Linked DNA regions of Schizosaccharomyces pombe. The gene in region 1 interacts genetically with each later gene. Each region holds a gene or a part of one and is shown in the gene's direction. Other genes may lie near its edges.

The links.
Region 2: mutations in SPOM_SPBC1861.05 (region 1) and sqs1 together harm fitness less than expected from each alone (positive genetic interaction), as found in Schizosaccharomyces pombe (one large-scale study listed by BioGRID).
Region 3: mutations in SPOM_SPBC1861.05 (region 1) and rga2 together harm fitness less than expected from each alone (positive genetic interaction), as found in Schizosaccharomyces pombe (one large-scale study listed by BioGRID).
Region 4: mutations in SPOM_SPBC1861.05 (region 1) and prw1 together harm fitness less than expected from each alone (positive genetic interaction), as found in Schizosaccharomyces pombe (one large-scale study listed by BioGRID).

The regions. Positions count from the first base shown.
Region 1 is NC_003423.3:4,135,733-4,144,868, forward strand, and holds SPOM_SPBC1861.05 (carbohydrate kinase), read left to right. Parts: upstream 1-4,516; 5' UTR 4,517-4,818; coding exon 4,819-7,062; 3' UTR 7,063-7,110; coding exon of another isoform or gene 7,111-8,412; 3' UTR 8,413-8,636; downstream 8,637-9,136. Other genes in the region: naa35 (NatC N-acetyltransferase complex subunit Mak10), read left to right, coding at 1-158; RNA-binding protein Prp24, read right to left, coding at 249-2,795, 2,854-3,119, 3,244-3,475; protein Mug131, read right to left, coding at 7,111-8,412; elc1 (elongin C), read left to right, coding at 8,952-9,057, 9,098-9,136. UniProt on the Schizosaccharomyces pombe protein: Bifunctional enzyme that catalyzes the phosphorylation of pseudouridine to pseudouridine 5'-phosphate (PsiMP), and the reversible cleavage of pseudouridine 5'-phosphate to ribose 5-phosphate and uracil. Is involved in a pseudouridine degradation pathway.
Region 2 is NC_003423.3:1,299,833-1,307,503, reverse strand, and holds sqs1 (G-patch and R3H domain-containing protein), read left to right. Parts: upstream 1-3,368; 5' UTR 3,369-3,475; coding exon 3,476-5,563; 3' UTR 5,564-5,907; downstream 5,908-7,671. Other genes in the region: ldb1 (LIM domain binding protein), read left to right, coding at 1,508-2,683; transmembrane receptor Wsc1, read left to right, coding at 6,889-7,671.
Region 3 is NC_003424.3:3,346,281-3,355,426, reverse strand, and holds rga2 (putative Rho-type GTPase-activating protein Rga2), read left to right. Parts: upstream 1-3,168; coding exon 3,169-6,858; 3' UTR 6,859-7,324; downstream 7,325-9,146. Other genes in the region: cnt6 (centaurin ADOP ribosylation factor GTPase-activating protein), read right to left, coding at 1-2,442, 2,734-2,858, 2,897-2,912; Sm snRNP core protein Smb1, read right to left, coding at 7,866-8,306, 8,372-8,374; rpl1101 (60S ribosomal protein uL5), read left to right, coding at 8,568-9,092. UniProt on the Schizosaccharomyces pombe protein: GTPase-activating protein for Rho-type proteins.
Region 4 is NC_003424.3:5,108,618-5,115,282, reverse strand, and holds prw1 (histone chaperone, Clr6 and Rpd3L complex subunit Prw1), read left to right. Parts: upstream 1-3,400; 5' UTR 3,401-3,408; coding exon 3,409-3,493; exon of another isoform or gene 3,494-3,563; coding exon 3,564-3,669; exon of another isoform or gene 3,670-3,746; coding exon 3,747-4,851; 3' UTR 4,852-4,989; downstream 4,990-6,665. Other genes in the region: serine/threonine protein kinase Hal4, read left to right, coding at 1-779; fun14 (integral mitochondrial outer membrane (MOM) protein), read right to left, coding at 1,587-1,802, 1,914-2,141; Ca(2+)/Mn(2+)-transporting P-type ATPase P5 type Cta5, read right to left, coding at 4,990-5,168, 5,215-6,665. UniProt on the Schizosaccharomyces pombe protein: Has a role in chromatin assembly and chromosome segregation. Involved in the deacetylation of histones.

The DNA.
Region 1 (9,136 bases):
TCAACCCGTATTTCTTGCAAACCAACTATTTAAAAAATTTATTATGTTGCTGCATTACAAATCTGGTTTCACTTGCAATCTTATCCAAAGATCATAGTGCTAATCTAAAAATAGTGGAAATACCTGGAAATCCGCTCCCAAGTCTTTCACGTACATGAGGTGTTGTTCGTCTTTTATGTTAATAAATCAAAATTATCAAAAGTTAGGTTTTCAATATTTTTTTAATCATTCAATCTAATTATTGCTGACTATTTTAAAAACATTTTCCTAAAATCATCGTTGCTTTTAGGTGCATCTATCTGCATTTCTTTATCGTCTAAATCGTCCTTCTTAGAATTTATATTGGAATGATTGGAATTGAAACCTTGAAACGTTCGGCTTCCGAGTCGCCGTGGGCGTGTAGCAGAGGTATTGTAATCGGAATGATTCATACTAGATGGGACATTGTGCATCATTTCATTGACAGTGGTAATGTGTAGTAACCTGCCACCAATTTCATGTCCTTCTAATGCCAAGGATGCCTTTCCCGCATCATGAATATCCAAAAACTCTACTACAGCACCTTCATGTTCAGGATGAAGAACAACTCTATACAACTTTCCGTAGCTTTCGAATAAACTTCTAAGTCTAGCCTCGTTAACAGTCCCGTCGACATTAGTGACTCCTAGGCTTTTGCTTTTGATTTGTTCGAATGATTTTTTTGGCGTTGACATTTTATTTGACTCAGTAGTCTCAAAGCTTTTAGCTAAGGTTCGGTTGTCATTGGATGATACCCTTGTTTTCTCTAGAGATTCTCGAGGCTTCGACAAAACAACGTTCAAAACTCTATTTCCCAATTGCTTTCCAGCAGCAGAAAGTGCATTTTCAGCATCTTGATTTGTAGTCATTACCACATATCCAAAACCTTTATGTTGATTAAATCTTTTCGGTATTCGAACACTCTCAACCTGCCCATAATCCCTAAAAAATGTTTCTACGTCTTTTTCATTTACTTTAAAATCAATATTTGTAACGTAGAGTTCTCTACCCTCATAGACAGCACCGCTTCTAGGAGTTCGCCGAAGCGGGTCTGATATAAAGACTTGAATAGGATACTTCTCTTCCAATAGCTTCTTATGTAACTGCAGGGCATTGTGTGCCTCATCGGGCTTTCTCATTTGTACATAACAAAAACGCCTGTTCGTGTTATACCTTAGACTAGGAAAACGGACGTCAACCACATTACCATATGCAGAAAATAATTTGGTTATATCTAATTCATCATAAGTCGGAGGAAAATTGGTAACGTAGAGGTTCGTGTCTACATGAATTTGAACAGAAATTTCATGACCCCTTATCGATTTAAGGTCTCTTGTTTTAGCAGCAAGAACTTCACTGGTTTCAGAAAATTCAATCTGAGCCACTTTAACATCCTTTTGATTGTCTTCGAGGATAAAAATGCGTATAATATTACCACAATCTTTGAAAAAAATTTTCAACTCATTTTCGCTTATATCGGAAGGTAGATTGGTAACCAAAACTGTAAGTTCTTCCCTATTCCTGTGTTGCTCAATAGGTTTCGACTTTTTGAACACATCACCTTCTTGCCCAGGTTTTCTTTTCTTTGAAAGGGCGGCTGTATCATCAGCTTGAGGCACTTTTAGTGGTTCGGTGTTTTCGACAGTCTGCTTCGTTTCTTCAGCAAAAGAATCCAATTGACGTTTGAAGCTAATCCTCTGTGCATTTAAAACGTCATATAAATGTGATGTGTTTGTGAAACAGTCATTATTAAGGTCCATAATGGATTGATAAAATTGGAACAGAAGTTGAGGCTGATCAACGTTTTTGTAAAGGCTTTTTTTTAACGTCTCAGCCGCAAGCTCTGGGTTATACTTCATCGTACTTATGTATCGAGAAATCCAATATAATGCCTGATTTTGAAAATCATGAAACATATCAGACCAGCACTTTTCTACGCTTTCAAAATCAGAGATTTCTGAATATAAATAAATTTTTGAAAGTTCAATGCGCATTCTTGCATCCTTTGATCCCTTATGATTTTTTCGCAAATAGTCTTCGACTTTATGAATTTGATGTTTCAAAAATTCCTGTGGCTTATCTTCATTAGAAGACAAATATAGGCATGCTTTTAAAAATCCGCTAAAAAAATCAATAACCTCGTCAAAATTTACGAGCAAATTTGAATTCAAACATCGATCTTTCTCTTCACAGACAGCCGATGTGGATGCTCCAGAAAGCGTCATATAAGTCAGTTTAATGGACCAAATACGCCCAATCCATGAACAGTTACGAGTAGCTCGTTCTGCTACACTGGACGCTTGAGAAGAAGAAAAATCCACTTTACTAAGCCAGGCAGTGTATTGCAACCAGAGTTCCGGAATGAGGGGATACAAAACTATGGCACGCTCATAGAGAGTTGTTATATATTGTAACTCAGCTGTTGAGCGTCGCGATTCATCATTAATTAAATCCATATACGCTTCGAGAGAATGATTTGCGCTGTTTAACAATAGTTCTTTATTAAAAATTTTTGCATTTCTTTTAAGTGTAGTCTCATACACTTTATTGCTTTTCACCATAACATCCTCATATTCGGAAGGAGACCAGTTATTTGTGACAAACGTTGATAAAGAAGTAAACGTTTCTTCAATCTGCTCATGTGGAAGTTTTAATCTATCAATATGAAAATCATATATCTTGTTTTTAAAAACAATTTCTTGCTCTTCTTCTCCCTCAAATAGAGCATCACCGAACGTCTGTAAAAATTCCAAATATAACGTCCAAACACATTGACTCTGTAAACATTGATTAGTAAATACATTTTTATCATGAAGAAAATTTTTAGTTCCTTACTTTAGAAAAATGAAATTTGCAAGTTTGGTATGCACGTTCAAAAAGAGAATGGGCATCTGTCAAAGTAATAACGCCGTTTAATTCAGACTGTTCTTGTTCAAAAGAAGAAGTGTCCATTAAGTTTAGCGTAAATTCAAGATACATACACCAAATTTTGATTGACAGATAATCTTGAACTGCCAAATCAAACAATGTTTTTATCCTCACATAGTCGTCTAAAGTCCTACAGTTTTTGCACTCATCTAAAAGGTAATCTACCCACAAATCTAAAAACCATTAATAAATGCTTGTCAAAAGATTAACAAAGTTAAAGTAATTAGTGAATAATTTTTGCGAGTCTATGGAATTCGCCTCAACACGCTTTACCTAGACGATTGTTGATTGACATACCTTCTGAAAGTGGAAAGATCGATTGAAAAGTCTTTCTAGCCTCTGACAACTCCTTCTTTTTATCTAGACGCTTTAACTCTTCAATGAGTTTAATATGACTATCATAATTATAGGGATGTAAAATCGTAAATTTGGTCAATTCATCCAGAAGCAAAGGCTTTTTTTCGTTTTGTTCTTGTGGATCAATATCCATTTCGACATTCTCATCTTTTAAATCTTGTATTTGACTCATTTCGTCAAAACCGACGAAGACTAGGCTTTTGCTGGGTTCCTTAGGTAAATGTCATGCGTATAATGTCAAGTAAATTTCAAGATAAACACTAAAGTCTTAAAAAACAAGGGGAAGTTAAATGGAAAAAAGTAAAAAAGCAATTCGTTAAAATACTAGAAAATATTAAACAATCTAGGTTGATCCTAATATACAAGGCACATTGTTAAAAGGGAGAAAGAGATTAAAAGATTGAATAATAAAACTTGTAAAAATATGCTTCAGAACAAGATAGCACTACTTAGTTTGCTGTTAATATCTTTTAGTCATAGACCTAAGTTCAACCATTTTATGAAGTGATACATTTTTTCCTGAAGGAGGGAATTAACAACAATAGTTTGTAAACAGATATACATTTGTTTTATTATAGTAAACTTGTCTGTCAATTGGATTATGTGAATATGGTAAAACTCAAAAGTCTGGCAAATCTTGATCCTTATTTTATCTTTTCTGTAAAAATGATAGTAATATAATTTTTTGGGTAAAGTAATTTTACACTTCAGTCAGCTTAAAAACCTCTTAGTACTTAGAATAAAAATATAGTAAATAATGTAAAATTCTTTTATAAAAATAATGAAACAATTCGACAAATTAAGCCATGCAAACATCATAAAAAATTCAGTTCCTTTCAGAAGAATGAATATTTATACTTTAATCAGAACATGGTTTCACAATTAAACACAATAGATAAAAAAGGGTCATGGCATTGGTTTCCTGGATAAAAGAAGTTCTTTTTTAAATAGAGTTGCATTTTATTGCAACTCCATTCAAAATTCAAGTCTATTGCTTTAATATGAATTGTTTTCGACACCAAAATAAATAAAAGAATTCAAAAAAAAACTCAATTCCAAGTTTTGTATCAGTAAATTCGGAGCGCCGGCAAAGTATTCAGTTTGCCTGCTCTCCTTTTATTTACATTTTACTATAAAGTTATCTTGACATATATCGGCGAAGTAACATTTTTTGTGATCGGCTTTTCCATGGGGAAAGCGTACATTTATTATCAGACACCACCATGTTTAGATATGATTTGCCGAGGTAGATTATATATAAAAAACGTCGTCTGATCGTTCTGGCATTTTCATTTTTTGTTCCTTAAACTTTTATTCCTAATAGTATACGTCCTTTTTAAATCTCAATTTTGGGTTAACTTTATTCCACTCATTCTTTTTACGTTTATTAGATACGCGGAGTGAGCGCGTATAGTACGATTTATTCACGATTTTAATATTATCTGATATACGCTTTCTTCGTTTGTCCTATATTATTTACCTATTTATCACTATTTTTCTTAGCATCTTGCTTATATGCTCATCGTTATGAATAGAGGTTGTCGGTTAGTTTCACGTATTCCATTGGGGTTCAGAAGGCTGAAGAGAAATCCAAACCCTGGATTGAGGAATATACTTTGCAGAAGATATAGTCCGCTGGCCTTATCCAAGGAAGTGACAGAAGCCCTTAAAAACAACGTACCAGTCGTTGCCTTAGAATCAACTATCATCACTCATGGAATGCCTTATCCTCAAAATGAAGAATTGGCAATTCAAGTGGAAAGCAAGGTACGCAGCATGGGTGCGGTTCCTGCGACAATTGCTCTATTAAATGGACAATGTACTATAGGGCTTGAACAATTTCAGTTAAGCGAACTTGCTAAATCAGGTGAAACAGCATATAAAGTGTCTCGTAGAGATTTATCTTATGTTGCTTCCCAGAGACTCAATGGTGGAACCACAGTTGCTGCAACTATGATCTTGGCTAGAGCAGCTGGCATTGACGTATTCGCAACGGGCGGTATAGGTGGTGTTCATCGTGGGGCAGAAAATTCCATGGATATTTCTGCGGATTTAATAGAATTAGGTCGCACAAGGGTTGCCGTCGTCAGTGCTGGTGTCAAGAGTATACTCGATATTGGACGCACACTTGAAGTATTAGAAACTCAGGGTGTTCCTGTTGTCACTTTAGGCCCTCCAAAATCGGCTTTCCCTGCATTTTTTTCAAGAGAATCCAAGTTCCAGAGCCCTCTTTCTCTAGAAACTCCGCAGTTAATTGCTAACATGCTCTTTAGTAATATACAGCTTGGCCAGGAATGTGGTACTCTTGTGGCCATTCCCACCCCTCACCATTGTTCTATTGATTACGAAAAAATGGAGGCTTTGATTGAAACTTGTTTGCAAAGGAGTGTACAACTTGGCATAACTGGTAAAAATGTAACTCCATGGCTTTTAGGAGAACTTCTAAGAGAATCAAAAGGGAAAAGTTTAAATACTAATATTGATTTGGTCTTAAACAATGCCGAAAAGGCTTCCCTTATTGCAAAAGAACTAGCTGTTTTAAAAGAAAAAAGCTCTTTTTTCCCTACCAACACCGGAAATACATTTGAAACGAAGCCGGTTAAACAAGACTTTTTCTATGGTAAAGTGAGTGACAAAGGGGTTTCGTCGAGCAAAAAAAAAATTACAGAAACAACGTCCAAACCTGCAGAAGTTGTATGTGTTGGTAGTGTGTCTATTGACTCAGTTTTGAAATTGGATAATCCTTTAACATCTAAATTCCTTGGCACATCTCATCCTTGTCACTCTGAACAGGCTTTTGGCGGTGTTGCTCATAACATGGCTTTGGCTTCTTCTTTAATGGGCGCTTCTACGAAGTTGGTTTCATGTGTTGGAACAAAATCCGTACCCACTTCCTCTATTAAAGAGTATCTTACCAAGTCTTCTTTGCAGCATACCATTGTTGAGAAAAGTAACTTTACCTCTTGCTCATACACAGCTATCAACGATTGTAATGGCAATTTATTATTAGCTGGAGCTGACATGGCCATCATGGAAAACCTTAGTTATTCAGAAATCAAGGATGATCTTAATGACGCTAAGTACATTTGTTTTGATGGTAATATTTCACCGTCATTGATGCTAGATATAACCACATCTAAATCGAGTAAGCAACGAGTCGTTTTTGAACCAACCAGTGGTCCCAAAACATTAAAGATACTAAAAGTCTTATCTGTTGCCTCAATTGATTTTATAACACCGAACAAGTTTGAACTCGATGTATTATTTCAAGCTATGAAAGACGGAAATTTCTTCGAGAATGAGTCATGGTGGCAGAAGTTAAACAGCTTTGGTATCACCTCCTCTTTCTATAATGAGATTGAGCGTTTTACGAAAAGTACAGGAATAGAAGAAATTACAGAAAACGGAATCTTACAAAAGTGTTTTCATTTACTTCCCTTCATAAAGAATATTATTGTTAAGTTAGGACCTAATGGTGCTCTTTTAATAAGCTCTGAGAAACTTCAAGGAGTGAATTCAAACTCAGCCAGCCTTTTTACCCCCGGAAATGTGACTGTAAAGTATTACCCTGTTCCAAAAGTTATAGCAACCCCTGTAAATGCTAGCGGAACTGGTGATACTTTTATCGGTACTTTCACTGCTTTGCTTTCGAAAGGCTGGGGTATGGACGATGCTATTGATACTGCTCAAAAAGCTGCGGGCCTCACTTTGCAGTGTAATTTTTCAGTAAATCCTGAAATAAAGACTCTTTTAAAATAGTTGCTCTCATTAACGATCGTTAATAATGCCGCGAGAATTCTTTATTTTCTAGGCGTGTGGCATCATATTTTCGATTTCAAATGGATTACTTCCCTTAGCACCACGCTTCCGACTAAGAGTATTGGAAATTTCCCTTCCCTGTGAGCTCAACGGTGTCTCTATCCTTTCATGTTTTCTTTTCATGAATTTATCACAGAGTGAAGCTTCGTTAATAAACGTTTCATACATGTAATTAGTGATGTCTTCTATATTACCAACATTTATATTTTCATCATTTTTGTTGAAGTAAAGGATTGATGGTGGAATGCACTCTTCATACAGCTTGGCGTTAAAATTTAGATATGCATGGATCGGGAAAATCGCGCCTTTCTTTCTTAACGCATGGGTCAATGCTAGCCATCCAAACTCAGTGGAATTTTGACAAATAGAACTTAGATCTTGAATTATAGGATTTCTGCTTTTCCGTATGGCATTGCCGCTAACCGAATGTACATGAATGTTGCAATGGAAATGTTGAGTAGAAACACAAACCCAATCTGATGATCCAGAAATACAATATATGTCTTCCGGATGTACCAACAAGAACCTTGGATGCCCAAACATTTGTTGTGCGGCCCTGATGTGCAACTCAGTATAACCATAATTTCCAACTAAATTTTTCATGTAGTTTGTTACTGCCACCCACACAGCATCTTTAAGATTATTTGAATACAAGTCATAAAGCATCACATGATGAAGTAGCACCGTTAACGGTATATTGGGGTTCTCTAAAAACGAAACAAAGTCTTCAAATCCTTCGGGAAAGTTTTTCTCTGCTAGATTCATACTTGCTTTGGCTTCTCTATTATTCAGTTCAATTGATATCGGAACTGCTGATTCGGACATGAACGAATTTGCATACTGAGCATGCAAGTAAGGAGTCCTGCTTGTTCCATACAAAATACCTAGGAAGCCGTATGTGAATGGATTATGAATTTCTCTTGAATCTAAAAATTCTGCAGCAGATAGCTTACGTTCAGTTGTGAACGATTTGGCGGCTATTAAATTTGAGAGTTTTAGAAGTTTATCGGCATGTGGTGTAGTAAGAGAGCTACTCAAATCAAGCGCTTCCATTGAAGTAGTCAAGCTTTGGTTTGAGGTTAAAGAATTGCAATAGAAATTTGAGGAATCGGCGTTTAATTTTTCAAGTCCTTGTGGCTGAATCTCATTTTGGCATATGAGTTCGATATCGCTTTCCAGATAGTCGGCTCCAGTGAAACAAACGGTAAATAGACTTTTCAAATGTTGAAAAGCTCGTTTTATAAAGGTGTTGCTCGATGAACCTTGTACCTTTCTTTGCTGATTATCCATTGCGACTCTAGCCAATATATGTATATATATATATATAATATCAATATAAAATTTTGTATAGCGTCTATTCAATTAATGCTTAAAATTTATATTCTTGAATGGCGTATTTAGAGAGTATGTTATAAATGGATGATTTCAGCATACCAATTGCTATGATTTGAGGACCAAATTAGTGTAAACAAACTAGTTTTGTCAACAAACAAAATTACTATTTTGCCAGAAACCAATTTCGATATTTTTTTAACTTAAATATCGTTTTAAATGATTTCTTTAACGGTTGAAATTTACATTTTCCCTTTTAATTTTAGAGAATTTTAGTCAGTAATATATTGTCCTCTATTTTGATTCAAAAGAAAATTAAATTCAATTTTCTATATTAAATTAAATAATTATGGGTCCGGAAAGTAAGCTAAATAATTAATGTTTACTTTCCTTGCTACCATTACTTTTTCTACAGAACACCTAAGACGGTCGGGTATTATATTTTTTTTGAAATTGACGTGATAAAACGAAATCTTAGTATTACACAGTAGATAAATATGGAAAAAGAATACGTGAGACTTATATCTGGCGACGGCTTTGTGTTTATATTAGAAAAAGAAATTGCTTGTCTTTCAGGAACGATACGTGCTATTCTCAACGAAGGTTTGATAATGATATTTAGTAAAGTAATTCTAATGTATAGGAATATTTTCTGAGGCGCAAAAAAATGAATGCACATTTC
Region 2 (7,671 bases), 2.8 Mb from region 1:
TATATGGACAGAACGTTTTAGAAAGTAGCAAGTTGGAGTAATGTAACAAACTATAACAAAACAACTCTACAACACTTTTAAATTCGATATGTGTTTATAACATATTAAAACGCGAAAAATGGAAGTACATTAAATAGGACAGCGAGATTTTTATTTTTCTTTATTCATCGTTATATGTTTTCTTTTCACAACCAAGAACACACTTTACAGTTCTCATCTAGAAAATCATGTGTTGAGTAATCTATTAAAAATTTCACAACTCTTCGACACAAAATTTTTTTATACCTAAAAAATCAATGATAAATGACCGTAAAAGAATTACCTGCTTTTCCTTTTCTTTGAAACTAACTCTCGTTTCATATAGTCAATTTTGTTACCTCGTTACACTCACGTGCTATAGTGAGAAATATTTAAAGTAAGTAAATAAAACAGCTAGAGAAACATTAATGGAGTAGTAATTTTCGAAAAACGATATAGAAATTAGACCAAAGAATGAATTAGTAATCAATTTTAGTTCTAAAAAAAACCATATTAATTGTAATCAGTATTATCAAGAAATACTAACTGTGCTGTTGTTCTGTATAACGAAAAAATTTTGATGAATGATTTCTCTTGCAATATCGCATTCATTGCTTTTTTTCAAAATAAAGTAATTCGAGATACATCAACTATATCAAATCTTTCCTGAAATCAAGCCTTTTTTACTTAATTTATAAACATTACACTATGCGACACCATTTAAAAAATTTTTTTTGGTTGATTTCGAGGTATACAAACACAAAACTTAATACCGATGCAAAATTTTTATTTCAACAATATTTAGTAAGGGCAATGATTTTGATGATCTTCAAATTCAAGAACTAATCATCAAATAAGTAATAATGTATAGAGACACTGAAAATAAATTACCGATTTTGTGATCTGTAAACTACGATTGCTTGTATACATTCGGAAAGGAACCTTACAACATATTAAAATAATCAAACCAAGACATTCCTAAATCTTTTTAAATATTATTTTCTATTTATTAATCTGCTGACTCTTACTTTGCAAGTTATCTTGACATACTCTCACATACATTTTTCATTCTTTTTAATATATCGAATTGAAAGGTGGTGTTTAAAACAAAATAAGAGAACATTGATAAAGGGCATACGGAAAACTGGCGTTGATCTCATTAATATTGATACTCGAAATCAGTGTAAAAAATGGGAACAAGGTAAATTACGAAGGAATTTTTTATTCTATATTTTAATTTGTAAAATGTTAATTTATATCACAAATTCAGGCGTTTGAAAGATGCTATCTTCACCCAAATACAAGCCGTTTGTAATAACACAGCGCATCACATTTTCTAAATGTCTTTAACGTAGCGTGCCAATCTCTAATTCACTTAAAGGGTTAACCATGCATGGCGGGCTCCGGCCGTTAATGTTTCACAAGCGCTTTGCACTTTGAACAAATCCAATTCTGCAGCGCTGGTGGCTTTCTTGTAAATTTCGCAGCTATGGTTGCAAACTATGCGTCCATGATGTATCATAATGGCTCGAATATACTAGGATACGGTGTTTTGCGATTATTACAATATAATGAACAGTTAATGTCAGGATGGGAAAGTACCATGAAAGATGATATTGGGTATTGGAGACGATTTGTGCATGATTTTTATACTGAAAAGGGAACATTTCGCTATAACATCGACTACAAAGATTCGCCAAACCAGGAGCCGAAATTGTTTGAATTATCGTATGCAGCACTTCCGCGCTTCTTATATCTGAGTTATTGCGGCAAACTTAAAAAGATGTCGTTCCTTTTGGGAAATACAAAGGAATTTGCCATTCCAAACAATGGGTATTTTGTGGAATCGTCAAGGGCAAGCATTTTATATCAGTATCAAGGCGGTGTACAGGTAATTGTATCGGGGCACTTGCGGGCTCATTTCTTTCGTGCTCCTTTGTTAAAATTAGACTCTTTAGAGTTTTCAGCTGTCGGACATTCCGAGTATCTTTTGCGCGAGTTAATGACAAACGCTTCCCTAGCCCTTTCGCAGTCGCGGCCTCCTCAAAATCAAATACAACACGATGGGGTAAAAAGTGAGGATCCGTCATCCGAAAGTGTAAATATTAACTCATCTTCTTCTCTTTTGCCGGATTCACCCGTCAACGAATATGGATTGGAACCGCACATCATGCGGTTCATGGAAATTACTGAAACAATTTCGGGAATGCGCGATCTCATAGCCTTCACTCTTGCTCAGCGATCGGGTCCGACTAGCGCTTTACATAAATTTGCTACAGCTTTACAACAACAGCATCAAATGCAAAAGTCTACTTCCTCTAATATTCCATATGCAAATCCAGCCCCCTCGGGGTTTAATGGCTCGCCTAGGAATGGTGATGTTGCTAGTCTTGCCTCTAATTATCGTTATGCCAAGCAACCTCCCACTATGCCTGCTAATGCAATTAGTCAAGCTAATCGTCTTTTGGACCAAAATAATATCCCCAATATGGATCCATCAATTCTTCCTCAATCCATGCCGATTGCCTCTGTTCCGCCCTATAGTCTTCAGGGGATTAAACGCCAAGGTACCCATTCCCCAATGGTTGAAGGTGAAAATCCCAACAATAATCCTAACTTCTATTCTTCTGATATGCTGAACGCTCAAAAACGTACCAAGGTATAGCTGTTTTTTTGTATTTAATATTCGGTTCGCTCGCTACTTATACATATATCTGCACTCACTGTTATTTTTCGTTGTCTAAGTTTGAAATTCTTAAGAAAAATTTCTATTACTTTCTTTTTTTTGAGCGTATTACATTATTTATTCCTTTTTCTGAATACACTTTTGTGTATGTGTTCAACTTCAAATTCCTTACCGTTCTCATCATATGCAGAATTTGTCATCTCGTTCCCTATTCGACGCTTCTCTTTTATACTTTTAAAATAAAAAGGAATTTTTTTCATTATAAAGTAATTCTATGTATTTTTACATTGCTCCCTGTTTCAAGAACAAATCGTTTCCCCTGTCGTTGCTCTCGAGGGACGTAAAAGAAACTGCATTAGTATAGCGTTCTATATTCTAACATTCTATTTCTTGCACTATTTACATTATAGTTATTTGGCTGTTTTATATGTTTTATACAAAAATTTATAACTTATAATTACATGATGAGCTACTGTCGGTTAATTCATATTCAACTTTGAGTCGGTCAATGTATGAATCTCCTCAACTTCAGTTTAAATAGACGTGTATACTTGAAATTAATAGTTAAATTGTAAATTGAATATTTAGAAATTTGTATTTAATACCGTGGCAAAATCGTTTAGTGTACTATATGAAGCACTTTCCCCCAAGACTCCATCCTACTACCACCATTTGGTTTACGCACCTCACAATTTAGGATTTCACCATCATTATTTATTAAAACAATTATATATTATTTTTTTTATCATATTTTTTGACTTGTATCCCTCAATGTCAAATTTTGATGATCTACAGATTTTAGATCAGTTACAAACTTCTGCCAGGTTTCGTGGTGATACACGAATCCGAAGATTTAAGGGATCCAATAATTCTAAAAGCCCTTTTGGTTTAAACCCTAGTAGTCGAATTTCACAATGGCCCCGAATTACCTTTATACGTGCTAAGGACAATTACAACCCGGCGGAAGAATTGTGTCAATTAATCGATGAACAAAATGCCCACAATGAAGCTAAGCACCAAAGCAAAGAGATTATGCTTCCCAAGGAAACCAACGTTAAGTCCTGCGAAGATTTATCAAAAACCGGTGAAATAAAGGCGTTGGACATTGTGTTATTTAAAGCAATTACTTCGAAAGGTGATACATTGAAAGTAAAGAAAATTCCGGAATATGCGGAAGCGTTTGATACCACCAAGAATGTAGAAGTTTCAAGTTTTCCTGAGAAAAGCATGAACGAAAATGTTTTGATTCAGCATTCTTTAAATCTTGCACCAAGTGATAAGGAAATTTCATCTACAGAAGAAAGTGAGCAGTTGTGTTACAAAGAACAAGAATCTGAGAAGGAGTTATATTCTAAAGATAATGATGACTCTTTAGACATACTAAATGTTCCAAACTTGGTCAATGATGATATTGCTAACAATAACGCTGCACCTCCACCGCCTTTGGCTCAGGCACAGGAGCAGTTGAGTACCGAAAATGAAGACGAGTTTGATATTGATGACACCACCGATAAAATGACTACGTTTACTATGAACAAGTTTGCCGACCTCTCCGTTTTAGAAGAAGATGATGATGATGAGGACGAAGATGAAGAGCTAGAAGGAGAGAAAGAAGAGGAGGAAGAGGAGAAAGAAAAACCTGAAATATCAAATTACGATGAGACAGAGGGTAAAGTAAATTTTTCACTTGAAGATTCGGAATCTTTAGAATTTGATGAGGGATCAGATGACTATGATTATGCTAAGTTAACGACGGAACTTGTGGGAAATACAGATTCATTAGCCGAAGATGAAGATGATATTTTGGAAGAAGATGAAGATGAAGATGAAGAAGAGCTTTTGGCAATTTTTGATGCTAGTGATGATTCCGAGATTGAGGCATACCTTAGTATTGGAGATACTTTGCAAAATGATTTTACTATTTATGATTATGACAGTGAGGATGAAGAGTACAATAACCCCTCAACTCAAAAAACGGAAAAAGTTTCTCAAAGCAAAAAAGGGGCGAAGGTAAAAGAAGAAAAAGGTTTGAAAAAAGATCGCAAACTTCCTAAAAAAATGCGTAAAGCTCAAAAGAAATTAGAGAGAAAGGCAGGAAAGGCTGTGGCCGCTAGAATGGGAGATGCCTTTTCCAATTCTTTGGACGATGAGAGCATGAACTTGTACGCTGAATTGCAAGAACAATGGCTTAAAGATAAAAGCAAAAAGGCAAGAAGACGAGCGGAAAGGGAGAAACTCCGCTCTGAGGGGCTACTTGGAAAGAAAAGCAAAAAGAAACTTTTGCGCGAAAGCCAGAAGCCGTCTTCTTCCGATTCTGACAATGCTAGTCTTACACGAATTGATAAGATATTTATAAATGATGTTTATCAACGGATGCAACAGTTTAAGCACTCGGCCATTGAAGAAATTTCCCTTCCTCCATGCAGAAAATATGTTCGTCGATTGGTTCATGCGCTTGCCAACGATTTGAACTTGAAGTCGAGAAGTTATGGATCTGGAAACAAGCGGTATACTATGCTTTCCAAAACTCATAAATTTGATGCATCTAGTGTGGATTTGGTTTCACTTACCAGGATTATGGAGCGTTTACAGACCAGGGTTGAGTATCAGTCATTTTCCAAATCTGGTAGGAAATCTCGAATGACTGTTTCCTCTGTGAGGTCGAGTAAAGCCACACGTGTATATGATGGCCAAATTGTTGGAGAAGATGCCCCTGAAATTAGCAAAGAAAATCCAGGTCGTCGGTTGCTCGAAAAGTTAGGATGGTATGCAGGTAAAGGACTTGGTCATCCCGAAAATGAAGGTTCCAAAGATAGTTTACGTGCTATTGTTAAAGTTAGCAGAAGTGGTTTAGGTTAGAAAACCAGGGTGACTGGTCAAACCGAGAAACTAATCAGCTGTGTCTTATTTACTTGAGATAATACTCCAATTTATATATATATATATATAAATATATACTATTCTAGGTTAAGCATCATATTCAAATTAGCGATTTGTACATATTGATGTGAAGTAAAAAATTAACCGTGGGTACTTCGACATGGTGTCTTTCCATTCAAGAGATAAACCGGAAATCCAGAAAGATAACTATCTTTTATTTTAAGATATAAACTTCATTTAAATAGACAGAATAATTATTCTCACTACAGGAGCAATTGAATATGTAAGTTGCTGCTATGGGCATACTGCAGCTAAAGAAGTTCTACAAAACGGTGATATCGCAGTGTACAGAGTTATTATTGCTATTTAAAGAAGATAATCGTAAAATCAGTTAGCGTTTAATATATAACACGTGTAATACAGTATAAGGAGTTATGTAAAGTAACGTTTAGGTCATTTTAACAGGCAATATCGGTCAATAGTGATACCCAACATCGCACTATTCGCAGTTTCAACCAAGTATCAATCGGAGCCTTTTTCATTCGTTAAATAGTATAAGGCAAAAATACCGTTTCGGTAAGGGTCAATAGTGTTCGCCTAGGTTCGACTGACTTCAGCCTTTATGGGGCCCGTCGGAGCTAACTTTTCCACTTAACAACTAATCGAATTCTTAAGTGTTTTTTGACGACAATCTGTCAAACACTGTATCCTTATTAAGGAACTAGTGTATTGTTTAAAGTAAAGGAGTTTTCAAGCCTGGGAAGCTCGAAGAAACGATTCAAACGGAAGCTCTGTGGATAGCCAAGTTCGGTACGGGTTTGTACTTTCGTCCCCGAGTATTTTGTTGAACTTCAGGAATTCGCGTTCTTTTTTAATTCTGAATTAATCTTTACTCTTTACTTTTTATTCGTTCTTTTTTTAAATTCTGTTTTTAATTTCGGAACAAACGAAGTTGGATATTGAGTACTTTTCACCAACTGCTCGGTCTTAATAATTCTTGATTTTGCGTTGCTGAGCCTTTATCCTTTATTGTTTTCTTTTTCATGTTGATAAAGAAGTGATTTTGCAACAATTATTTTCTTCATTGGCATTTGAATTTTTACGCTCTTTATTTTATTTACCCAATCTTTCTTTTCTTTCATTCGGTTTGCGCCTTTTGATAATATTTCTCTTAACTGGTCCAATAATTTGTTTTCTCTTTAGTCTATAGACAAAACAACTTAATTTACTGAGGGCAAAATTTTTATTACCAAATTTAAGTTTTAATTTTCATTCCTATTATACTTACGCACGATTTAATTTCCATGGTCTTTTTAAATTCCTCTCCCTTTAAGGGGAGGTTACTATTTTTTGTTTACCTTTTGATAATTTCTACTCGGTTGGTGGCGGCTGACATGAACACTCAATATGGCTGTTATCTCGTGGATAGTAGCTTAACTGAACAAGGCACGTTTACCTATCTTGATCCAGCGTATTGCTATAACAACATTTGTGGTGGATCTGATAATATAGCATTTGTAGCTATCCGTAATAATCAATGTTATTGCGGTAGTACACTTACTGCTACAGAAGTTTCAAGTTCTCTTTGCACAACGCCTTGTCCAGGTTATGGTTCTCTTATGTGTGGTGGTGATCTGTACTGGTCGGTTTATCTGACTGGCAATGGGGTTTTGCAAACCACGGTTTCTAGCTCGTCAGTGTCGTCTACGACCTCTTCGTCTTCATCATCATCTCCAAGCTCATCTTCAACTACAACAACAACATCTCCTTCTTCTTCTTCTTCTTCTTCGTCTTCGTCGTCTTCCTCTTCTTCTTCGTCTTCTTCTTCTTCTTCTTCCTCATCTTCCTCTTCCTCTTCCTCTTCCTCTTCGTCTTCGTCTTCTTCGTCTTCTTCCAGCTCTTCGTCTTCTAGTTCTTCCTCTTCCGTACCAATAACGTCTTCCACCAGTTCTTCTCATTCTTCTTCATCTTCAAGCTCATCTTCCTCTTCATCTTCTAGTCGGCCATCTTCGTCTTCGTCGTTTATCACGACCATGTCCTCATCTACTTTTATTTCTACTGTCACAGTAACACCAAGCAGTTCCTCT
Region 3 (9,146 bases), on another chromosome or scaffold:
TGGTTTGGCGGCTAAACCTAGTAATATTTTGGAGATTTTATTTTGCTCCAAACCCTCCAATAAAGTAGCATCAGCATCTACTCCTGCAAAGTCAATGAATGCGTGTTCCACATACTTCTTCTGGGCAAATGCCAACTTCACCTGCGCATTATGCTCCGGCTTTGGCTTCAGCGAAGGATTAGAAAGTCCTTTTTCATAAACACGGTTGACAGCAGCATTACCAATTTTGCACAAAAGGACTTTCGATTGCTGCGATAACGAGTCGAGTAGCAAAGAACGTGTTTTCGATATATGAGTACCTAAAGACCTATGTATACCACTGCATTCAATACAAAGAACTACCGGTATATTGATCGAGCACCAAGTAACATCTTTAACCGAACCGCAATCTGCACACACACTGTTAGAGACATCGGTCTTTCGGAGCATTTGAATGAAAATGTTTGCACTGGCATGGTATCTCTCTAACTGTTCCATATGCATAGTACCCGAATTGTCTGATCGAAAAAATTGTTGAAGGTTCCACGAGCCTTTTCTACTGAAAGCCTTCTTAATACCCGAACCGCTTAATTTTCGGCTGATAGGCGTGGTCTCAAAACTCGTAGAAAATAGTGGAAATACCTTAGAGGGTCGTCTCACACTTGCACTCAACGGCGTTGCAACCCTAGAAAGTTGGAAAGACGAAATCTTTGCTGCTTCGCATATAGCTTCAATCCACGAGTCCATCTCTTCAGCAGACGTGGCTTGATAAAGTCGCTTCAATTTCGGAGTTACAACTTCGAAACAAAACCTCCTTCCCTGTTTGCGAACTTTATCAGCAGATGCATGTTTTAACGAAATGGATGAAACATTAGATTTTACGGAATCTTTCCAGTTTGCATACTCCCATAAAGAACCGTTCTCAACAACAATCCAGTGCTTGTGCCAAGCGGCTTTACTAACCATAGCTAGATCTGTACCAAGTTCGGTAGCACCAAATACTAAGAGTAGACCCTCTTTAAAAATCTTGTCAGGGCTTGCACTACCCCCATTAGAAATGCACTTTCCCTTTATCTCCGTTGTAAAATTGCTTGTCTGGCTAATATCATCTGCAGAGGCTGCCATGCGACGATTTGGCATAGGACTCTGTATTTCATGTAAAGGGAAAGAAGGGGAAATCGGAGATGGTGAAGGCGGTGCCATGGACTTTGGACGACCGCTAGTTTGAATTACCTGGGAACGATGCATCTCTCTGCCCTTGTCACGTCTGGTTGTACTCCATTTTGTTTTTTCAAGTTTTAAATTGAGTTGCTGAAGATTCGGAAGAACACTATTCATCAAATTACTAAAAAGTGCAATATGGTCATATTGGCGATGAAAGTACTGCAAAAAAATACCGTTAATATCATTAATAATGGAACCATCGTGAAGGTCTTGCATAAAACAATAGTAATCATATCGTTGTAAGGCAAACGTTTTCTCTTTTTGAAAAAATTTAGAGTCTCCTCCCTTTTTGTCCTTTTTAGCTGATAGATAACGCGACAAAGATCCATAAAAGCTTTTGCTTTGTTCATCAAATTCAAGTCGTCTATCATCAATTGGCTTAATGAAGCTTGAGTAAATGTTATGAAATGGCTCATATAAAAGATTAATTAAATCATAATTAAGTTTTTGTATAAAGGTGGCATGAATGTCCATAGCCTTGGTTAAATAACTGTCCAGAAGTATGTCCATATTCATACTGGTGCTATTAGAAGCTTCCGAAAGTGTCTCTGACAATTTCATAACAGCAACTTGCGATGCATCGTATGCATCACTTAATTGGACAATACGTTTCATTATTTTTTTGCAATAATACTTCATAAGAGATGATTTTTGCTCAAGCTCATGCAACATAGATCGGAATGACGGTCCATCCTCATAATTCTCTGGGAATATAACGGTCTTGGTATTAATCAATGAAAGCTCCGTCTTCGCTTCCGGAGATTGAGGAGGTTGGGTTTGTACCGTCTGGCTAGTAGTTAGCGGCGACGTGACACGCTGGCTTTCCGAAAAAAATGTATCATCCATAGAATCACCGCAACGAGATACGGTGTAGTAGCTAAATTTTGAGATACGTTCAAGAGTACAGTCTTCAGTAGAGTAAACGGCTATGCAAGAATAGTTTTTGCATTCATACTCCAGAAGTTTACCCGAAGGAGGTGACCACTCCCAATGATATCTGATATTGGCCGCATTTGAATCTGGTAAAAAAATTTCATGTACATTATCCGAAGAAATTAAGTCTGCATATTTCAACTTCTGAGCAAAAAAAGAATCAAACGATTGAAGCGATTCGCAATGGATGAGTACAAGTACTTTCCTCTCCTTCTGCAACTGGAGAACACGATCACTGAATAAAAAGTAGAAGTCTAGCTTGTTTTGAAAACTAAACTTAGGGAGGCACTCTTTTGATGTAGAATCCTAATTTTTACAAAGTTAGTAAAATCGTATATGGAAATAAGAACATCTTCGAGCAACACGAATGCACAATGGGCTTGCTCCAGTTGCTCCTTTTGGATAAAATCATAGACTATATCTGTTTGTCTTGTAGTTATTGTCATTCATTAGTCTGTGTTATCCAGTTCAAAAGAATGGACTTATAAATAGATGTAAGAGTGATAACTATTTTTTGACAAAAGAATCGACACTATTAAATGTGTCTATTTTAATATTTTACTCAATGTTCAGATACTCTTAGCTTTTATATCATACCAAAACCATGTCCACCAATTTTCCTGATGAGCTAGATATTGACTCTAGAAACCCATCTTCTCGGGCGCGGAATGAAATGGTAGAGCCATTGTCTAATTTGGAAACATCAACAGATTTCAATAAAGCTAAACGTTAGTAACGAAAGTAAAAATATTAAACATACAGTCACTTCCGTCCATTGCCGGGTCAAAGGGCTATTAGTATAAATTCGGTATGAGAACCGGCAGCAAAGCTTGAAGGAGTCTCAATCAAAAATTTGAGGGTTCTCAATACGAAGCTGCTTGTTCTCTTCGTCAAATGGTAAAGATGGATGTTGTGCGGACGACAGGTTTTTTCTTGCGGTCAGAGCCCACAACTTGCCGTATCACCACTTTCGCATATTCTGCCGAAATCATTTATTTTCATGCAGAAACTACGTTTCTATTTGAAAAAATAATGAAAGAAGGAAATGAATTGGAGAAGTATTCAAAAATTGAGCTGAATTCAGAGATTTGGGAAGATGAAGAAGAAGAGGATAATTCTGGGATTGTATCTCAAAATGAGAGATTAATGAAGCTAGTGAATAAGCAAAGAGAAATTATATACGAGCTGCATAAGGACTTGGAAAAAGTAAAAAAGGATAATACTTCATTACGCATGCGACTGAGTAAATATGAGTCTACAGACTCATTTCCTTCTAGTCAACCGTCCAGAGCTAATTCTCCTCAATCGGACTCTTATAGCTCTCCATATGAGAAGGGGAAATTATTTCCCAAGATTTCTTTGAAAAGTTCCAAAGACGTACCTACTGCTTCTGCTCACATTAGCTCTTCAGACCATGAAAAATCTAGTTCTGTTTCGTTATCTGCTTTAAATAATTATAATAAAACTACCGATATCAAGGCCAGGTCGTTAGACAGATTGTCGGATATGACCAGACCAAAACTTTTATTGAATACGAAACGCTCGCACCGTTCATCTGAAGAACCAGGTGCATCTTCACCAGTGACATCTCCAATATTAAAAGACAGCCAAAAGGAACGGATACAGGCCCTCCGAAATAAAGCAATCAAGACTTATTCGGTATCAACTGAGTCAGCTGAACGAATTGATTCTATCCGTTCTGACAATTTATCACCTTTGTCATTAAATACATCTTCTTTTCGTAGGCCAATTACAAAGCCAACTCCATTTAACTCGGACAGTAATATTTCTATTGATCCTAAAGATAACAATTCAAACAAACAAGACCATTTTGCTGAAATTGAGGACGAACTTCGTCAACAATTCTTGGACATAAAAGTTGGAAGAGCTAATGCATCATCGCCTAGGAGAAAAAGTATATCTATTGTAAAACCGCATGGTATATCTTCCCCAAAGCATTCTACTAATAATTTAAGCTCGAAGTCAGGTAAATTCCATTCTGATTTTCGAGTTGTTTCCGAAAATGTTCTTTTACAAGCTCGAAGTGAAACGAATTCTCCCATTATTGAAAATAAGGAAGCAAATAATTTCTTGGCTCCAACCTCAAATGTTCCAGCATATTCAACCCCTGCGCGTCCTACTGAGAGTCCTCCACCTCCGCCAATTTCTTCGTCTTCTACCACACCTAGGCCTGATGACAAACCTAGCCTACCTCCTCGTGGACTTTCAGAAGATAACGATTCTTTGTCTCTTCAAAAGACTGGCTCATCCGATACAAGAAGGTCCTCATTTTCTACCTTGAAAATACCTGATAGTGACATATGTTTTACACGTCGCCGGTCGGATTCCAACAGAACTTGGACGGTCATCGATCCTCATCATTCACAATCTTTTGATAATGACATTCTAGCAGAAATACCAACATCGAAACTTGATAATTCTAGCCAAAAATCTCCAGGAAAATTGTCTTCTAAAGGGTTACTCAACAGCTTCTCACCGATTTCGCCATTTAGCAAGTCGAAATCTCATAACCATCATCCATCAAGTCAAGTTGAAAAATCCACGTCGAATTCCAAAGGTTCTATGTTACCTTTGGATACTTTGTACAACAATAAGTTGAGCTTTAGGTTGGATGAATCATTAGTCCGTTATCTTCGTTTCGAGCTTATGAAAACCAGTTTGGCTTCTTTATCTCCAGATTTTGATTGCATAGGGTTGCAATTCGTGGTCGGTGTCTCTGCGAGTTCACATTTAGCTTCACAATGGAAAGATGAAGTATGGAGTTTCACAAGGAGCATCGGAGAATGTCGTTCCTTTGCTACTTCTTTCGTCTTAGACATCGGCGCACCTCCTTTCCCTACTCTTGATTGGTTTACAAATGACTCTTCAGTAATTCAAAACGAATTGTTACGCCGTTCTGTCGATACCTATTTTCGTTATATATTTCAAACTGATCTTAAGTTGGAACAGAGGATCAAGTTACTAGAATTTTTGTCAAGTGACACTTTACGAGAATACCTTCATGATGTATTCTTTCTTCCTCCTGAGCATGCTCAAAAGGAGGGGGTACTTTTGAAATACATTGAAAACAGTGGTTTAGTTTCACGTTATTTTTATTTAAAGGACAATATTTTATATTTCGCTGAAAATCGAAATTCTCCAGTACTTGGTACAATCCATTTAAAAGATGCGCAGGTGAATCGCTATAATGCCAATTTACCTATATTTTCTATCATTGATCCTCCTCATGAATTTTTAACTGGTGAAAATTATCAATCCGCTTTTGTAATTCAGGAAAAACAAACGGAAACGCGAACGGGAACTGCAACTGTTCACGTTCTTTTAGCAAGAGATGTTGAAGATCAGAAGAGTTGGCTGCGAGCCATACTTCGACAGGTTCCTGGCTCTACTTCTCCTCTCAATGCTAGTCCCTTCTCTGTATTATCTTCTGATTTTCCTGGATCTTCTCGTTATCGTGATCAATCTTCTCCTATCCGTTTTTATGGAAAAGCAGACTCAAGACCTGTAAGTCAAGAAGCAATTTTAAGTCAGGATATATCCAGCTCTCCATCTCCCGTTTTACCACCGTCAGAAAATGTTGCTTCTTATGCCGATGATTCTTTGGTTTCAAATTTAACCATGAGTCCTAAATTAAGGGATTCAATGGAGCAGGTGCCTTTAGAAAATCATAGAGAGTTTGAGATTAGTGATCGTGTTTCTGAGTTGTCATTCGACAGTAGTACGGGAAGTGTTTTAGAGATTGCTGACACTAGACGAAACCAAGATGCTCCTGAAAAGCACGTCCCCGTGATAGAAATCCAGTCTTCTAGACCTTCGCTGGAGAAGACTGACCAATCTACTCCTGTAGAGTTATTGATCGATTCTCATTCTCAGAATTCGCAAAATGAAGAAAAGAGATCGAGAATGAAATTTTGGGCGTTTCCGCATCATAAGGCCGAAAATTACGAACAAATATCTGATACGAATATACCTGTGATCGAAACAAATGTAATGCTTTCACCAAGTTCGACAACAAGTGCTGAGCCATTACAGAAACATATTGTCCGTAAGTCTGGAATATTCGGTCTTCCTCTTAATGAAGCGGTGAATATTTCTACTCAATTCAATGACAGCGGTTTGCCAATTGTTGTCTACAGATGCATTGAATACTTGGAATCATGCCGAGCCGAGAAAGAGGAAGGTATTTATCGGTTAAGTGGTTCTGCCTCGACAATTAAACATCTTAAGGAACAATTTAATGAAGGAGTAGATTACGACTTGCTTTCGTCAGACGAGGAATTCGACGTGCATGTAATTGCTGGACTTTTAAAGTTGTATTTGAGAAATTTACCTACCAACCTCTTAGACACTTCTATGCATAAATTATTCGAACTGTTACCTAATGTTCCTAACGATTCTGCGGCCCTTGGAGAACTTTGCGATGTTATTAGCAAACTCCCTCCTGAAAATTTTGCCCTTTTGGATTCCCTGTTACATCATTTGCGTAGGATTATTGCTTTTGAAAAAGTTAACAAAATGAACATTAGGAACGTTTGTATAGTGTTTTCTCCTACTTTAAATATCCCTTCGGATATATTTATGATGCTTATCCTTAACTATGATCATATCTTCACAGATATTTCACGACAAACGAACGGAGCACAAAACGAAAGCGACTCTGATGTTAGTGATGACAATGGGGAGGATAACGAATTTTTCTAGGAATTTAACGTCTACAAATTGTCAACGCTTGAGACGGTTAGTTTACTTAAACTTTCAATGGTTGTACGTGTTTTACTATCCCTTTGTCTTTCGTCTTCCTGTTCATTCCTTTATTGAATTATTTCTTGTTTTAATGCTTAGAGACACAGGGATTCTCCAAATATTCGTATGTACGGCAGTCGTCTTAGTACGATGTCGTTAATTTACTCTTTCTTTTAAAAGTTTTAATACTCTATAACTATTTTAGCCCTTCGTTTGTTCATTCTTTTCTAGTTCTTCTTATAACTAATTTTGGGCAGGTTTTTTATGATTGTATATTCAATTTATGTTGGAAGCTCGGGTTTTTTCTTTATAATCTTCTTTTATTTTTATTCTTCTTTGATTAGTATAATGAATTGTCGTTCTATTCTTGCTATTGAGCGGTGATAAATGAGCAATATTATATGTTATTTTAAGTAAAATTGCTAACATTAAATATCATAAACTAATCTAGTAAGGGTCATATAGACATAGCTAAGTAAAACGTATATATTCACTCTTAGCTGAATATCATTTTTTTAAAGGAATGCTTTCGTACAGTTTTGTTTGATATTCGAACTACCAAACAAAAAAGATAACACTGTTTTGTAGATGATACCAAACTGACGACAGCAGACCATTTATGGATAATTTATGCCTGTATCACCTAATCCATAACAGCATTGGTAAACAGAGTTCACGATAGTCGCATAAGCATTCTCGCTGAGACTCTCATAAAACCTCGGATTAGAAAATGAAAGTTGGAAAAACTAATTTATACAAATACACAAAAGCAAAGCGCCTACTATGATGTTATCGAATGAGAATAGTACCGATGAGGTTCAAGTCAACCGATTCGTAAAAGCAGACTATAAAGCTTTTTAAATAACCAAAAACGCACTAAAACAAAAATCAGATGTTGATCGTGCTATTAATGAACGAATAGTGGATGCTCTGTGGTGAAAGAAAACGAATCAAACGGAACCATCCTAAACAGGACGAAAACCCGGGGGAGGGGCACCACGTCCAAAACCAGCAGGTGGTGGAGGAGCAGTATATCCAACTCCTCGCACAGGTCCTGCCAAACCAACGGGCGCTTGACCAAGAGGAATACCACGACCAGCAGGTCTGGCGACACCCGGCCCACTCAATAAACTACCACGCATAGAAGGATCCATGGGAGGTGGTCCTTGAACGGAAAGAGAAACAATAAACTCACCACGAAGAATGACGAGTCCAAGCATGCGCTTTTCTTCGTATACGGAGTTGCTAGGGACGTTTTGCTTTTTTATATGGCGATATTCCTGGCAATCACTCAAAACAAGATTCATAAATCCATCAAAAGCAAGTAACTGGCCTACAAATGTTCTTCCATCCTTCGTCGTTACGTTCAAAGAATGGTTTAGTAAAGAAACCATTTTTGTCGTGCCCTAAACTTGCAGTTAGCAACAATCGAAAATTTTAGAATCGTATATAAGTTCCAAATGCCACATACCATTTTGATATTGTGTTTTTCTTAAGAAAAAGCACGAGTCTTAAAGTCACCTACCAAAGAAGCTGTACACTAGGTGTTCAGTCTTCAATAACTAAAAAGCCTAACCCTACCCTATACATGAAACAGTCACAAGCACTGAACGAAAGTTTTGTTATTGTGCTAAATACTTTGGCATCCACCAAAGAAAAGGCACAAGATGGCAGAAAAGGCACAGAATCCTATGAAGGAGCTCCGTATCTCCAAATTGGTTCTCAACATTTCTTTGGGTGAATCGGGTGATCGTCTTACTCGTGCCGCCAAGGTTTTGGAACAGCTCTCTGGTCAAACTCCTGTTTTTTCCAAGGCTCGTTATACCATCCGTCGTTTTGGTATTCGTCGTAATGAAAAGATTGCTTGCCATGTCACCGTTCGTGGTCCCAAAGCTGAGGAGATTTTGGAGCGTGGTCTCAAGGTCAAGGAGTATGAGTTGAAAAAGCGCAACTTTTCTGCTACCGGTAACTTTGGCTTCGGTATTCAAGAACACATCGACTTGGGTATCAAGTACGATCCTTCCATCGGTATCTACGGTATGGACTTCTATGTAGTTATGGACCGTCCTGGTATGCGTGTTGCTCGCCGCAAAGCCCAACGTGGCCGTGTTGGTTACACTCACAAAATCAATGCTGAGGACACCATCAACTGGTTCAAGCAAAAGTATGATGCCGTTGTCCTTGGCAAATAAATATAATAAGAATGTTTATCATTATTTGGCTTTTTGTCTGTATGTTTTGTTGTT
Region 4 (6,665 bases), on another chromosome or scaffold:
CTGAGACATTGTATGCCGTTAAGGAGTTCCGTCGAAAGCCTGCCGAGTCTCAAAAGAAGTATACAAAGCGCTTAACATCTGAGTTTTGTATTTCTTCTTCATTGCGACATCCAAACGTGATTCATACATTAGACCTGATCCAGGACGGCAAGGGTGACTATTGTGAAGTGATGGAGCTTTGTTCGGGAGGCGATTTGTATACGCTTATCATGGCCGCCGGTCGTCTAGAGCCTATGGAAGCTGATTGTTTTTTCAAACAATTGATGCGTGGTGTTGATTATTTGCATGATATGGGTGTGGCTCATCGTGATTTAAAGCCGGAAAATTTGTTATTGACCGTTAGCGGAAGTCTAAAAATCACTGATTTCGGTAATGGTGAATGCTTTAGAATGGCCTGGGAGAAGGAGGCTCACATGACATGCGGCCTCTGTGGATCCGCACCCTACATTGCTCCAGAAGAATATACAGAAAGTGAATTTGATCCACGCGCAGTAGATGTCTGGGCTTGTGGTGTTATCTATATGGCCATGCGTACCGGTCGACATCTTTGGCGCGTTGCCAAAAAGAGTGAAGACGAGTATTACTCCAGATATCTGATGGATAGGAAAAACGAGAGCGGTTATGAACCTATCGAAATGCTTGAACGTTCAAGATGCAGAAACACTTTGTACAACATTCTTCATCCCAACCCAACTTACCGCCTGACAGCAAAACAGATAATGAAGAGTGAATGGGTTCGTTCCATCACTCTTTGTGAAGCTGGCAATGCTGGTCTGTAAGTAGAGAGTAGGATTTAAAAGTTACAAATCATGACATTCGAAGCTTTCTAAGCTGTTCGAAAATGAGGATTTACTATTGTTACTGTCTTGATTAAACTATGTTTACATGCATAATTTAATTGTATTGAAAGACTTTTGTTTTTTTATTGCATTCACTCTAGAAGGGCGAAGGGATGGGTTTGATCGTGAAACGCGTCACAAATTATTCATAGTTTGACACAATGCCAAGCGCTATTCAACAATCGCTTGTGTTTGTCTATTTTAACTTTATTACACCTCATGTGGTTTCAACACCGGCACTCCAATTGCCAAGAGGAAAGGGAGAGAGTTGGTGTTTAAACTACATATTTTGGGTATATGTATATATTTTTAAAGAATTCTTACATTAAAGCTTTATATTACGTTCGTTATCATTTTTATATGTACACTAGTGAGCGTGGTGTCTGTGATTTGTTGCATGCACTAGTAAGTCACTTTTTAACTAAACCTAGAAAGTTATGAGCACGGAGCTGACATATCTGAGTTACTTCCACTGTCTAAGACATTAGTGTGTGCAGCTACTTAATAATTAAATTCGGTACCAAAACAAAGAAAATCGTGTTGATTGGTTAATGAATGAAAACTCAATTATAGTTAGATAGATGCATATGAAAAGTAAGCTTCTGAACAGGAGCGTGAGCAAAATGTTTCACTATTGGTAGTATAGAACGAACGTTGGGGTTCAAAGGAATCATAGGAATTGAGAGGAGTGCGAGGGCTGAACAATGTATCAAAATCGAAATGTGTTGTGGTGAAATTCAGCCACTTTTATGATGACACAAATCCAACATACATAGCTGAAAAGAAGCTCAGCTTGAAATTGGGGTTTGTACAGATCCAATTACGAATGGTAGGAAATGTTGATTGAGTATTAAACCTACCTGAACTTGGGAAATGAAATCCAGTATACTGCTCCGTAGGACCTATAACTTGTTGCTGCAGCTGGGGCCAATTAATTCGGATCAGACCTTTACTGTTAATATACTAATAAACGTATTGTGTTAGTATTATGAAAGATAAATACGATTTTCAGTGCGAAACACAAGGTTTTTAAAACCTCTAAATATAAATAAAGAATCAAACTTAAGCACTTACAGCAATGGTAGCGAAAACGGCGGAGCAGGCAACGATGAATAAACGGCCCAATTTTCCTAAAGCAAATCCGGCTGCTAAACCAAGAGAGCTTCCAATAAAGATTTGACGGTAATTCAGCTTAAATTGAGAGGTGATAGTAGTTGCAGCACTTGCCGAATCTTCACACAAGACTGGGCGAAATGGGTGAAACCTGTGCAAGAATCCTCTTCCTAGAAGTAAACAATTCATTATGTGAGAGTAAAAAATAAAGAAAAATAATAGAAAAGGTACAAATTTGGTGGAAACGGTTTAGTCTAAAGGTGGGAATTATTACGAAACGTCATGTCTCGAAGATGTAAATAAAAGATGGATAAAGTATCTTCGTTGCTTTTTCTTAATCAGCTTACTGAGAAAGTGTGTGTCTTAAGGTAGATTTATTATAAGAGAAAGATGTAAACAAATGTATTGTGTACGAAGTATTTAAGTGAAAGGTAATTTTGTGCTTCTTCATCATCGTTTCTAAAATTAATAATGTTCCTTTTTAAGATCAACGATCTTTTAGTTTGGTATGACTTGCTTCGAAGTTCTTTTTTCTTGATGTAAAGAACGGCATACATATTGAAACGGGATTGTCTTCATTTTAACAATTAAATTAAATATATTTCTCATTTCTTTTACTAAGGGTACGCAAGAATACGAGGGCATCTTGAATTCGGCTTCTTGCTCGTTTGGTTTTCAGTATGACTTGATGCATTTTCCAAGGATTGCAGAACAGGTGGGAGATCATTATTTTAAATCATATACTTTTTATTCACGCTCAATTGAATATTCAAAAAAAGGAGAACTTCAGAAATTTTGGCTGCGTTTTGCTATTGGCGATACACAAGTTGAATGTACCTTAAAACTAAGAGGAACATAATTTTTTTACCAATTTTAATAATCCTGCTTCTCAAGCGGTTGTTGCCTTGTGTGACTAAAAAAAAGCTTCAAAGTGTTTCTGTTCTTGACGCACTGATTCATGCAGAAGTTAGAGTAGATGAAATTAGCATGAAAGCAAAGTAAAAAAAAACTCATCTAAATTAAAGATTCTTAACTCTCAGCTCTATAAATTTATCTTTCCATCTTGTGTCTTATAGCAGTCCATCGGGAAGCTTGTGCTACCCAAATTATATCTCACTTCTGTATACATATGTTCAGCAAACATAATCATTTTTAGTAATTCAACTTTTTACAATTAACAGTCTCTTTAAAAGTTGCAATTTCTAGCACTGTGGAAACGCATCTCAGGTCGAGAGAGAAGATGAAAAGACGCTAGCCGAAGCATGAGACAAGATTAAGTTTCTATTGTTTTTTCCCATTTAAACATCTATACGGCTGTGATTATATAAAACCTAAACAATCTTAATTTATAAACCAACCTGCACCTATTTAAGAACACTTAGTGTGCACATTAGCGCTGCACGCGTCTACTCACCATCCACCAAAAAGCAGATTCAATCATTTTAACTAGAACATAATGGCTGTATCAGCTGTTCCCCATCCTTCCAAGCAAGCGCAGGCTTCGGAGGAGGGAATAAATCAAGAAAAATGCATCAATGAAGGTATGTCTGCAACGTTTTAACATACAATTTCTAGTTGATCAATGTAAAATGTGTTTCTAATCTGAAACAGAGTATAAAATTTGGAAAAAGAACTCACCGTTCCTTTACGATTTAATAATTACTAGAGCTTTGGAATGGCCTTGTATGTCACTACAATGGTATCCAGAGCAGCAAATGTAAGTCAATCATTTGAATCATAATGTTTAATCTTGTTTATGTGACTCAAAAAACTTACCATTATTTTTTGTTATAGTTTTGCAGAACATGGATATACTGAGCAGAAAATGTTTCTGGGAGTTCGTGCTGATGTTGGCAAATACTTACTAGCTGTTGCGTCTATTCAATTACCCTATTTAAATCAGACTGTTCCTCCTACTACAATGGAGGGAGCATCTGCGGGTGACGAGTCTTCTCTACGTGTTAATATCTCAAATCTTTATTCTCATCCTGAGTCTGTTTGTAGTGCGAAGCTTATGCCACAAGACGATTCTTGTGTAGCTACGGTGGGTAACTATCATAATGATGTGTTGGTTTTTGACAAGGAATCCTTCGAATCTTATAGCTCGGCTAGTGAGTCTCCTCTTAAGCCCAAATATAGATTGACCAAACATACCCAGCCCTGTACTAGTGTTTGTTGGAATTTTCTTTCTAAGGGTACTTTGGTTTCTGGATCGCAAGACGCTACTCTTTCTTGTTGGGATTTGAATGCTTACAACGAGTCAGATTCAGCGTCAGTTTTGAAAGTGCATATAAGCAGCCATGAAAAACAGGTCAGTGATGTACGCTTTCATTATAAGCACCAGGATCTTCTTGCTTCAGTTTCCTATGATCAGTACCTTCATGTTCATGATATTCGTCGCCCTGATGCTTCCACAAAGCCAGCTCGAAGTGTGCATGCCCATAGCGGTCCTATTCATTCTGTTGCTTTCAACCCTCATAACGACTTTATTTTGGCTACTTGTTCGACTGACAAAACCATTGCACTTTGGGATTTACGGAACCTTAATCAACGCTTACATACATTAGAAGGACATGAAGACATTGTAACAAAAATTAGCTTTTCTCCTCATGAAGAGCCTATTCTTGCTTCTACCTCAGCCGATAGAAGGACCTTAGTTTGGGATCTTTCAAGAATCGGGGAAGATCAGCCTGCTGAGGAAGCTCAAGACGGTCCTCCGGAGCTTCTTTTTATGCACGGAGGCCATACTTCTTGTACAATTGACATGGATTGGTGTCCTAATTATAATTGGACAATGGCAACCGCTGCTGAAGATAATATTCTTCAAATTTGGACACCTTCTCGCTCAATTTGGGGTAATGAACAATTAGAGGAAGATGCTACGGCATATTTAAGTTAACCGGTCGTATACAACATTCATTGATATTTTACTTAATGTCCCAAACCTGTTTCTCTCTTTAACTCCTTTTTTTTTCTACCCTAATTGCACATAAAAGCAAGTTTTTGATTAACATATATATATTTAATTTTGTTTTTTTTACATGTTCAGAATACTCGTAAGGCAGCACGAGATAACTCCCATAAAAAGTATTATGAAACGATACAGTGTCGGTAGACGTGTGATTTGCAAACACCTAGAGATAATGTGATTTTCATTTGCAAAACATAGATAGATATTGCAAAGGCCAATGGTAGTACACAAACATACATAAGTTTCTATATCATAAGATGTTAATAAACAAAAGACAGGATTTTCACTTACTTTTTTTCCAAATAGGTGACAAAAACTCGGAACTTTGGTTTATTCCAATACAAATTCCTAAATATTGTAAAGAACTTAAAAGAAATATGCTAGTCACTAGCACGTTTTTCGTATTTGATTTTTCAAGTTGCCATTCAGGTAATTCAACCCAGTTCAACTCGTGTAGTATTAAAGTCAGCAAGCCATGGGATAGCCATATTAATACTGATTGAATTCCTAAATCCTTTACTCTTCCTTTGCCAAACAATGTTGAATTAGGGCGATTGCTTGTCAAATTTTGAGCAGGGTCGAAGTAACTCATAGCTGCTGACAGTGGAAATATGATTAACAGATCCATAAACAAAAATTGGTTATCGTTAAAGTTATAATTTTTTAAATAGAGAAAGAAGACACCAGAAAACTGGACTATAGCACACAACACCATATATTGAAAACAACGATGGCTAAGTATTAAGGAGCATCTGCCCTCCAATAAGACATTAAAAACATCCTTAATTGATTTTTTTTTGCTAACAAAGGAAGCTGCAGCACATGCCTCGGAATCAGAGAGAGAAACTCCAACATCGGCTTGCTTCAAAGCAATACAGTCATTTGCCCCGTCACCGCAAAAGCCAACTTTGCAGCCATATTTTTGACAAAGCTCCACATATGTAGCCTTGTCAAAAGGGGACATTCTAGCGAGAACCCTTAGTTTACTTAATAAGATTTTAATTTCATTAAAAGAAAGCATGGTCAATAATCTTTGAAGTAGTTTTCCATCCATACAAAGGCTTGAATCCTTCTCGAGGATTACATCTTTTAAAGAGAAGCCGTCGGGAATGGGCTGAAAGTTCTGAGTTTGTAAATCTATTTTTTCAAAATGGATTTGTGGACAATCATCCCCAGAATCTGCTAGTTCAGCTGTGTATATAAAATTGCATGAGTCTAATGCACCGCAATGCTTAGCAACGAAAACACTAGTGAACAATGAATCGCCAGAACAAATCGAAACTTCCATTTTGCTTCTTAAAAGAGAGGAAATAACATCTTTAGATGATTCTCTTAAAGGGCTCTCTAATACAAACAATCCTTGAAAGGTAACATTGGATTCTAGAGTAGAACGAGAAAGATGTATCAATTCTTGAAGTGGAGTAATAAGGTTCTTGGATGCAAATGCAATGATTCGAAACCCTTTAGATGAAAGCGTATGAATAACTTCCTGTACATTGCTTGGAATGGACTGTTGAGAAGAAATAGCTAATATCGATTCTGGAGCTCCTTTTGTGAATAACATTAAAGACCTCTCAGTACTAGTAGAGCAAATTACTGACATCCGACGTAAAACCGGATCAAATTCCAATGCCTTATAGATAGAAAAAATTTGACTGGGTCCATCGAAAGAATTGGATACGGAAAATAACGGAGGATGTGGAGTATTTGAAGCTCTGATAGTGGCACAAAAAGTTCCATTG